Drosophila melanogaster: one gene and its partner. The protein of the gene in region 1 interacts with the protein of each later gene in a pairwise test. Each region holds a gene or a part of one and is shown on either strand. Other genes may lie near its edges.

Region 1 (5,220 bases):
AAATAAATCACAAAAATCGAGCCCCTTTTTTCCGATTAATCCCCGTTTTCTCCGCCTTCACGTACTTTTGTTCTTTTCGCTTTGGACTTCTTCGCTTGTTGCATGCTCGCTCATGTTCATGTTTTTTATGTCGTTTTGTGCAAGAGTGTGCTTGAATTTCGTCATCTTGGGAAATCCTTGCATAATGTACATATTCATGTATGTTCATCCATACATACTTACGTACATACATTTGTCGTCGAGTCGTTTAGCTTACGTGTTATCGCACTTTATCGGCATATTTTTGACCTCAATCTTAGTTTATTAAATAAAGAGAGTTTTTGGGTGAAAACAAAAAAGGTGTCAGGTAGGGCTAAAATCATTTTTGATTTTAAAAATTTAAGGTAATCATTTAAGGGATATGAACAAGTATAATAAAACTAGATTAAATGCAAGTGCATTTTCTTCAGAATTTTCGACGGGCCTCTTTTATTTTGAAATATGGGCTATTAAACTAGTTTTAGGTCTAGAATCTAATTTGTTTTAAATTATATTGCGAACATTTTATAATACCACATTATTAAGAGAGCTACTAGAGCTACATAGATACAAAGCTAATAAATGGATCTAAAGTAATGCCAGTTACGAGAATTATTTGCCGTAAAATTTAAATTAAAAGCCAAGAATTGTTTTACGCGTATTTCGTAATTTTTTTCAAGCGTTTTCGCGCGCAAAGTTGGGAATGACAGAGAAGGAAATAGAGAGAGAGAGAGAGAGAGAGAAAAGGAGAGGAAAAAGCCTGTTTGTATAATGTGTGGGAGGGAGAGGGGAAGATGCAGAGGAAGACAAGAGTAAGAGCGAAAACAGGTTTTTCATGTTGCACAGTCAATTTTTGATATATGGTGAAATTGATTAAATATAGCCAACATCCAAATCGGAAATGTAATTAGCTAAACTCCTTATCGTATATTCAAAAACACGTTTGAAATGTTTAATGTGAATGAACGCCAACTAAATAGTCTTTATTACATTGCTTGAATACCCAAAATATAAAACAATTTAATTTATTTTATTAAATACAATAAACTAGCTAATCATTCTCTGCATAAATGTACATACATACATACATATGTACATTCATTTAGCCAGTAAAACCTGAGCTAAGCAAGTTGGATCCTTTGTTAATCATGTTGCTATTTTTCAAATTTATATTCAAAAAAAAAGTATTGAACATTATAAAATTGTGAACTTCCCTTCTCAAAATATTTTAAAATGTGAGAAAGTAATCAAGCTTTGTCTAAAAACTCCCTTTTTTCTACTACCTTTTTAACTCATTTAATCCGCTCATAGAATATACTCCCATTTATCATACTCTTTCTACTCCGGTTTTTTGGCCTCTTAAGAACGCTTGCTCTCCCTCCGCTCTCTTGTTTAAACAAATACAAATCAAAACCGAAAGCAAGAGCAAAGTGCAATAACGAAAACCACAAGCAAAGAGTGTTGTACAATTGCAGTTTTTGTTTTGCTTTAGCGTTCGCTAGGCAGCGCAGTCGGATATACTGCCTCTTCGCTACTTCTGATGAGTTTTCTTCTTCTTCTGAATTTACCTGCTCGACAAGATCTTTGTGTACCCACACATACACGCGTACACAGCCTGCCCACACACTCTTAGTTGAAACGAGAAAGAACGTTTTGTAAGAGTACCAACTGAGACATACCCTTCACATTGTTTGTGCATCTAAATATGTACTTTATGTTGTAAGTAAATATGAGTTATAAAATAGTGTTACTTCAGCAATTAGTGCGCTGGTACAATATTTCAGTTTTTTCAGTATGCGAAAGCCAATCAATTAAATTTTTACAACCTTAAAATCTAGATATGTTAACTATGCTCCTTGATGCATTTATGTAGACGCAATTCATGGTCCGAGTATACTCTTCCTCACTCAGCTATTACAGGGTAGGTAAAGAGCGGGATTTTTTAAAATATTTTTTTTCTCTCAAGTGTGCCTCCTTCATGCACGTGCATGTGCAGGAGAGGGAGCGAGAGAGATTGCGATTGCACTGGCTGCGCGCCTACGCTGCCGCTCTGCCGACGTCGCGGTAGAGGCTCTGTTGCCGTAGTTTGAGGCCCCAGTGCGAACAGTTCATTTTTAGCCGCGGAGCCAGTAAGACGTGTTTCCTGCCCTCTTTCTTTGAGTCTGCGACACGTTTTAAGTGCTCTTCCATAATTGACAACAGCAAAAGCAAAGAATAAAAAAATAACAAAAAATAAAAAACGAAATCCATCGTGAACAGTTTTGTGTTTTTAAATCAGTTCTAAACACGAAAAGGGTTGATGAAAAACGCAGAAGAATCCGAAAAACTAACTAACCGAGCAAAAACTTGACTTGAGTGTTGTTTGACAAATCAGGAAAGATAAAAAACAAATCATAAGAAAAAACTGCACGAAAAATGAAAAAGTTTCTAATATTCAAAATCTTGCACAAGAAATACAAAATCAATTAAAGTGAACTCTAACCAAAAGTTGTACACAAAATAAAAAGCAAAACAAAGCAGCGAAGAACAATCACAAGAAGAGCAAAGTGCCAACAAAGTGCAGGAAGGAAGGAAGCGGATAAGGACAAAAAGGAAGCCAGCACACACACACACCCACACAATGGCCGTGCCCTTTTATTTGCCCGAGGGCGGCGCCGATGACGTAGCGTCGAGTTCATCGGGAGCCTCGGGCAACTCCTCCCCCCACAACCACCCACTTCCCTCGAGCGCATCCTCGTCCGTCTCCTCCTCGGGCGTGTCCTCGGCCTCCGCCTCCTCGGCCTCATCTTCGTCCTCCGCATCGTCGGACGGCGCCAGCAGCGCCGCCTCGCAATCGCCGAACACCACCACCTCGTCGGCCACGCAGACGCCGATGCAGTCTCCACTGCCCACCGACCAAGTGCTATACGCCCTCTACGAGTGGGTCAGGATGTACCAGAGCCAGCAGAGTGGTAAGTCTACAAAGATCTCAATTCTCCACTCTTAAGAACTTTGAAATTGTGTGGGTTAATCAGGATATCCATTTAGTTTACCTCAAATACATTTGCAGATACAAAAATAAGTTTCGATTCATATACGGTTATTAATTGCGAAATGTTTAAGAAGTTCCCACACAGAATAACTGCTTACGCATGTTGGTAATATATTTTCTAAAATGCTTATAACCAACACTTTATTTAAGCCCACTTGTTTTGCTATTAACAAGAAGGATTTTCATAGGATCTCCTTGTAAAAGTAAACAAAAAATGTTATTAACTTGAAATTGCTTAAAGAATAGTAAATTTATTTCTTTCGAAAAAACAGCATTTTAAATGTTTGAAGATATTTTCAAACTAATAGATTTGATCAATAAAAAATGGCGAACAATTTTTTTCTATACAAGCGACTTTAAAGGTTTCATATTTTTGATTACCGCTTTTAATATCATTTAGTTTAGTTTAAGAAAGTTTCTGGACAGCCGGAGGGTTTCCCTCATTTTAAAATGGGTCAGCAATTAGCCAAGTTGTGACGTTATTTGTTAACTGCTTCAGTTCCCCTTGTGCAAGTTTCACTTTTCAAGGTTGTTGATTCATCCAGTTTCGAGTAACTGCGTCAACTGCATCCAGGTTGTTTTTGTTTACTTTTACCCAGTTTTTTTTTTATTTTATATATGGTCAATTCAGCACTTTGTCAGCTTATCAGCAAAAAAAAAAGTGTAAAAGGCAGAGCGGAAGGCAAATTTCTCGGCCACATTCGAAAGGAAGCCGAAAAAACGGTAATTCAATAAAAATTAATCGAACAAGTTCAAAAAGGGGAAAATTGAGAAGTAATTGAGAAGTTTCGATTGGAGGAGAGAGCAAACTTAATAAACGAAGTCACAAAACTGCAAAAACTCAAAATCATGTGGGGAATTACTGGATCAAATTCCCAAAGTGGGAATCTTACAAATTAAAAAATTTTGTATTGAGACAAAAATCTACTTATGTTATAAATAAATGAAAATAAAGTAGAAATGGTGATAACTAGCTCGATAAATCACATTAAGATCAATTTCCTTCGGTCATGATTATCTAAACTAGGCTGATAAAACTTTTAGTGTGCTATGGCTTTAAGAAAGAAACGCCGAGACACATGCAAGACAACTGCCGAGTTGGCTGTCATGCGATATTGTTCGTAAATATGGTCAAAAAATTGGGCGTGTGCTGGACCAGCAAGAAAATAAAGACCTGGCTGAAACCAGGGAAACATAACCCAGCGGCAATAAAACAGAGCTGGGAGCACAGAGCTAAGCACGTTTAATTGGCACGCGCCAAACTCGAGTCGAATGTCTTACTTTTGAGACTTTTGAGTGAGTGTGGTGTGCCTGTGTGTCTGGGTATCTGCAAGATATCTATCTATCTCGAGCGTACTGCTCGTATATCTTACCACTCGACTAACCCAAATTATTAAACGCCATTTGACCTTAGGCAACTAGTTTTCCGATTTTCCAAAAGGGGGCCAAACGGGTTGAGGGTGTGGGCCATTTGCAAAGTGTTTGACTTAACGGTTGTTTAAGTAGCTTTTGTGCTCGGCCACGTTGAGTGCGGTCAGTTTTTATTGTTTTTCTTTTTTTTGCGCGCGCGCTTTTCATGTTTGCTTTGCGGTTTTTCATTCGCGTTCCTTAATTTTGTGTTGCCTTTGCATAATAGATTTTGTCGCTGTCGATGATTGCCAGCTGCGCTCTTTGGTTCCACCGAACAACCGAATTGTTACTTTATATTATTTTGCTGTTTTATTTGGTTTGTTACCTTTTTTGCTGTCAGCAACAGTTGGTCAGACGAAAAAAAAGCGTTCCCTTCTCGAAATTACAGTGAGTCACTTTTGGGCGCTTCAATCTGTTTTCGTCTATAATATCATAATTTATACAGAGATACTTTTTTTTCGCTTACGAGAGCTGATGCCCAGTGAAAATTCGATTGCGGGGCATTTATTTTGAAAAACGAGCTAAAAAGACTTGACGTTATCGTGAAAGTTTCGATTTAAAAGTAATTTTCCCTTATCTCATTTTCCCGAACCACATCTAAGCCCCTACTCAACGCACGCCGATCATGTACTTTAGTTAGCCACTCAAGAGGATAATTTATCTAATCGTGACACATCCCGAAACTAGTGAACAATGCTTGAAGCCCTTGAAACAAGAAAGGGATAAACTGTAGTTAACCAAGAAGCGAGAACCCTTTTTCC
Region 2 (5,191 bases), on another chromosome or scaffold:
GGTGTGTACTTGTGAGATTGAGATTTTCAGATACGTGTCGCGCTCTCTCTCCCCTCCCTCCCTCTTACAATCTAGATAAGCAACGCTCGCTGAACGTGTGTGTGCGTGCGTCGCTTTGTTTCTCACCGTACGAAAAAGTGTTTTTCGAAGAAGATTCCAAAATGGAAAGGTAGCGGACTGTAAGGGTTTTCTGGTGTAGCGGGGGGATATGGCCACTGCTTGCCACACCACACTATAAAGAGCATAAAGCGCCCACACTCCGTAAAATGCAGCAGCAACACCAGACACACACACACACACTTGAACTCTTCCTTTGAAATACTCGCAGAATATACTCACACGAGCGCGCGTTTGGTAATTTCGATTTCACACATAAAATTCCCCGTAGCTTCGGTTCGGTTCTTCTAAATTTTGTTCACTATCTTCTGCACTTCTTGGCGTTGGAGCTTGTTAGTTTTTCGCGACCAGAACTCAATGGAGCTCCCTTACGAGCAGCGCACACGACTTCACGCGGAGAGCTGAAAACGATTGCTTGGATACCAATATTTTGGTACTTTTGAGTAGAGCCGTCAAAACATCGATGCTACTATCGATAGTATCGAACCGTGCATGGCGATGATATCGAGATAGTTGTGAGCAGTGGAATCAGACTGTTGCAAGCTAATAGGCTAATCTCTCGGGGCACATCACTTGAAGACCGTTGGGATTTAAAACTTAGCAAAATAAATAAATTATTTTAAAGAATTTTTGCAATTGAAAAGACAAATTTTTTAACATTTACATATACATTTATTGGAGAATGCATATAGTTGTGTGTAAACCATACTATCAGCGGCCTATAAACATGATCAACAAAAATACATACATGTGTTAATAAGAGTACTATAACAAGAAATCCATGTGATCTGCGGTCGTGCCGGTGCATTGATACCCTTTTCAGCGCGAATTAGAGCTGCTCATCTATATAAGGTCATTTCAGCGTGCATAATGTATGGTTCAAAAGGGATGCGCTCGGACACAATGCGATAGTTAGTAACGACAACTTACAACCGTAGCTAATGTAAAAACGAATAGCTGCAGTTGGCCAAGTACTTAGTAGACGATTAGTAGACGATTATATTAGCTAATCACCGGATAATTTGAACTTCGCTGTAGTAGTTTGTGTGGGTGCAATCAATCGATTTGCTTAACTGCTAACTAGGCTGGTGAACTCTAAATGATGTCGATATGCACTTCACGAAAGGAACGTGCGCACGAATCCCTTGATGTCTGCGCGGCACATGGGACAATTGGCTACACTGGGGGCGCACTGATTGCAGGTGGCTGTCGGGTTAACAGGAAGTTAGCTACAGCTCAAGGCAATCAAGGTATAGTTCAGCGACTTACCCAAGTGGCCACAGGGCAGGAACACTACGCCAACCTCCTCGTCCAAGCATACCTTGCATAAGCGTGCATCCTTTAGCTGGCGGTTTTCCTCCTCCAGCGATAGGTTTCCGTTCGGCGTGGCCACCGACATCTTTTGTATTTCGTCTGTGATTTTCGATATATTCGCCACTGCTTCAGCTGCCTGTGGTTTGGCTGGGATGGAATCGGCCACCGGTATTGGCACAGATGCTGCCTTGCTGGTGGTGGCCTGACATGGTTCAATAAAAGGAGCACTTGGCTCCGGCGGCTCGCGCACCTCCAGTGCAGCTCCTGCGCCCGCATCGTCAAAGATGTCATGCAATAGTTCGTCCAACGTAGAGAAAGCGCAGCCGGAACTCAAGAGCTTGCGCTGGATGGCATTGCGCACAACTCCTCCATCGATACCCAAGGCTAGGGCCTCCTTGGCCGGAGCTTCATCCATCAGTACGTCTGCTTGGAGCGTTGGAGCCGGAGCAGTTGCTGGCTGGGAACTGGCGTTGGCAGCTGTTGTCGCGAGCACTTCGCTTACATAGGCTGGACCCTTGGCCAGCAAAACGAACTGACACTTTGGCGACCACTTGGCGTGTTCGAACCACGGCTCGTCCTCCTTCTGCCAGGAGCGCAATCCAATGTTGCAGTGGAAACAGCGCACCTGGTCGCCTATTTTCTGATAATATAGGCCAGCCTGCGCCAAAGCCGAAGCGGGCTGAATATTGGAAATGGGCCAATCGGTGAAGGTTCTCAATCTGGCGTCCACGCAGGCGTACTTGGGACGCAGTGGCAGAGTGGTGGGCTGGATGCCCAGCTCATCCAGGTTCTTCCCGGTGGCAAACTCTATAAGGGGGCCCATTTGCACACGAGGACATTGGGGAAAAAAGCGCTTGTGCTCTTCAAAGGCATTGTCGTTCTTCTCCCACTTGGCAATCACTCCGTTGCACCAAACACACTTCACGTGATCCAGACGGTTCAGGTAGTAGAAACCTGCCTTTGCCAGAGCCTGCGGCGTGATGTTGGGATTCTACAAAGGAAGACGTTTTGGGCTAAAGTTAAACTATCTTATTCAGTCATTAAAAATATTTGAAATTATACAGTATACAATAACTTCATTTGAAGTTCATAATGATTTTTGTATATCTTAATTAAAGCTTAATTTCGTAGGATTATCAATCAACATTCAGCTGAATTGAGGCAGCTAACAAGACATTTCTTGTTTGTATACAAAAATATCATTGATACTTTCGACCGGGATTTTCCTGGCCTCATTTACGCTACTTTTTAACTACGCAATCATACTTACATATGCACTTATAGTGAGCTTGAAACTGAAACTATAGTGATTACAATGACCCGCTATGGTGAATCACCAGAAGCGAGCGACACCAGCTCAGGGTACTCACCGGCCAGTCCTTGAAAGTTACCAAGCGATTGGCCTCCAACAAGAGATCGGGACAAGAGCAGGACTCCGGGCTGTCCACTACGCTGTTTCCCTCGTTGTCGCTCTCCTGGCTCCTGGGAACATTGCCGCAGTGATTGGGAGCCAGAACCATGGAGCAGATGGGCGAGGAGCGGCGATGGCGCTCCGCCACTTGATCGCCGTATTCCCAGCGGTCGATGCGCACGTGGCAGAAATGGCACTCGGCCTCCAGCCAGTTTCCCGTGGCAAAGAAACCATTGGCGACCAGATCCTCCGCGGAAACTGGGGCATTCAGGGGCCATTCCCCAAATGTCGCCAGGCGAACGCTCTCCAGCTCCATGCCCAGCTCCGTCATCGTGGCGCTTCTAAATTGGATCCGAATGGATCCACCAATGATGTAATGCCACCAAGGGAATCACCAGCGAGCGCAGACGAAAATGAAAATAAGGTAAGGTAAAAATATAAACTTATTGTAGCGATGTAAAAATAAGCATCGATGTTTTTCGATACATCGTCAATGTTTCATCGATGAAATACCAACTTAATGGGCACTGCTTACAAAAACAAGGTCAAGCAGTTTACCTTGCTATTCGGTATATCCAAACCTAAGAAGTTTCCAGGTATTTCACGAGTGCCATATAACAGCCAACTATTTCAACAGCTGTCCAACCAACGATATAATGAACCAAAATCTCTTGTTTGTATTTTGTACGTTATTTATTTATATCGAGTTCTTCAATCAGTAACATTATACCACTTCCACAGTGCTCTGCGCCGCGCAGGGCCAGGCGGAACTCTCCGGATTACTAAGTGCCCTCCAGTATTTCGGGCTCTTCTCAAATTTGACGGTGTATTCCCTGGGAGTTTCGCGGGGCCAGTGCCATTATAGCTTCGAAACCTTGCTGAAGGAGCGACACACATGTGCCCCGGATGACGAGCACATCATGCACCTAAACCAGCTGCCTCCGGTTCGAAAGCCACCTATTATGATGAAGTGCCTGCAGCGGGATATCGAGAATGAGACAGCATCCGAGCCGGAACTGCTGATAATGCGCAGTGCCAAGGATATAGTGAATCTGCTTAAGCCCATGGGCAATGCCACCAAGCGCCACGAGCCGGGCAACTGTGTACTTGTCCATTTCTGCACCGCATCCAGCTTGGAGTGCGCTCGTGTGGCTTCGATGGTCAACGTGCTGCCCCATTACTTTCCCACGCTACCCATCGCCTATGTGGATGCCTATGAGTTTGGTCGTTTCAATGCAGAATTCGGCATCGTTTCGCTGCCCACACTGATGCTATTCCACCAGGGCAGGCCGCTAATCAAATTCGAGCCCGGGTGGAAGGACACAAAGAGCAGCTTTGCCAGTTTCATAATGAGTCACACCAATATGAAGACTGTGAATCCGCAGGCCATTGATCCGATCATCCTCACTCGCGCAGAGATGGAGCCGCTGTCTAATAAACCCATTGTGCAGACGGATTACTATTTGGGCCTGGCTTGGGCCTTTATTCTCGTCTGCCTTGCCAACTTCCTGCGTAAGACGGCGCTCTGGAAGCAGCTGGTAGAGATGGTGCAGCGCATTTGGCGGGAATCCGAGGAGACGCAAATGGAGATGGTGGACTAGTTAGTTAATACGTTTAATTCTCTATAAGTCGCATAAGTAGAACACTGGATTTACTATTATAATGTAATTACCATTTAATTAAATTCACGTTAACATTTACTTAGGCCTTACGAATTACATGTATTTGGGGAATTGGTAATTGTTGTTTTCTATCGTTCGGAGCCTTCAAATCAATTGTGTTCATTTGCACGCTAACTGGCATCCATAATTTAAAGCTTAGTGGCTAACAAAATCTAAAAACTTGAGAATTAATCAAATAATTCAAACTTATAATTACGATTTCATATATATTCCATTACTTTCATTGAATTTTTCGATTAGGTCTGAGAGTGTGTGTTGTAATGATTTCGGCGTTGAATAGTCACATTTGTTTTAAGTAAATTTAAGCAAGTTGTTCTGTATCCTGCGTGCACATCAATAGCATCTTGAAGTTGTACATTTTTTAGTGTTGCATTCTGGTCGACTCACGCAGGATAAGACAGAACTGGTAAAGAATTGTGTTTGTTAAAAAATATTTGAATTGGTTTTCCTGCTATGGAACAGAACCCAACGCTTTGCTTCCTAGTGTTTTTGAGTGTGCGATGCGGAAGATGTTGGCATACAGATGATCACGTTTCTACTACTTCTTCTTGCCGCGCTTGACCGCCTTGTAGGAGCTGGCCGCTTCGTCCTCCGTGTGAAAATGTTTTACGGCACGTTGTTGGCGCCTCGGATTGGCGGCATAGGGATGTGGATGTATGCTGCTGGC

Evidence for each region.
Region 2: the proteins of hid (region 1) and Diap2 interact in binary tests that used the Drosophila melanogaster proteins (3 or more experiments, as listed by UniProt).

The regions. Positions count from the first base shown.
Region 1 is NT_037436.4:18,182,541-18,187,760, reverse strand, and holds the start of hid (head involution defective), read left to right. Parts: upstream 1-2,119; 5' UTR 2,120-2,638; coding exon 2,639-2,969; intron 2,970-5,220.
Region 2 is NT_033778.4:15,931,398-15,936,588, forward strand, and holds Diap2 (Death-associated inhibitor of apoptosis 2), read right to left. Parts: upstream 3,429-5,191; 5' UTR 3,401-3,428; intron 3,321-3,400; exon of another isoform or gene 3,184-3,320; 5' UTR 3,174-3,183; coding exon 2,802-3,173; intron 2,423-2,801; coding exon 1,387-2,422; intron 1,324-1,386; coding exon 1,235-1,323; 3' UTR 773-1,234; downstream 1-772. Other genes in the region: bug (bunker gear), read left to right, coding at 3,499-3,526, 3,584-4,443; Mlf (Myelodysplasia/myeloid leukemia factor), read right to left, coding at 5,063-5,183.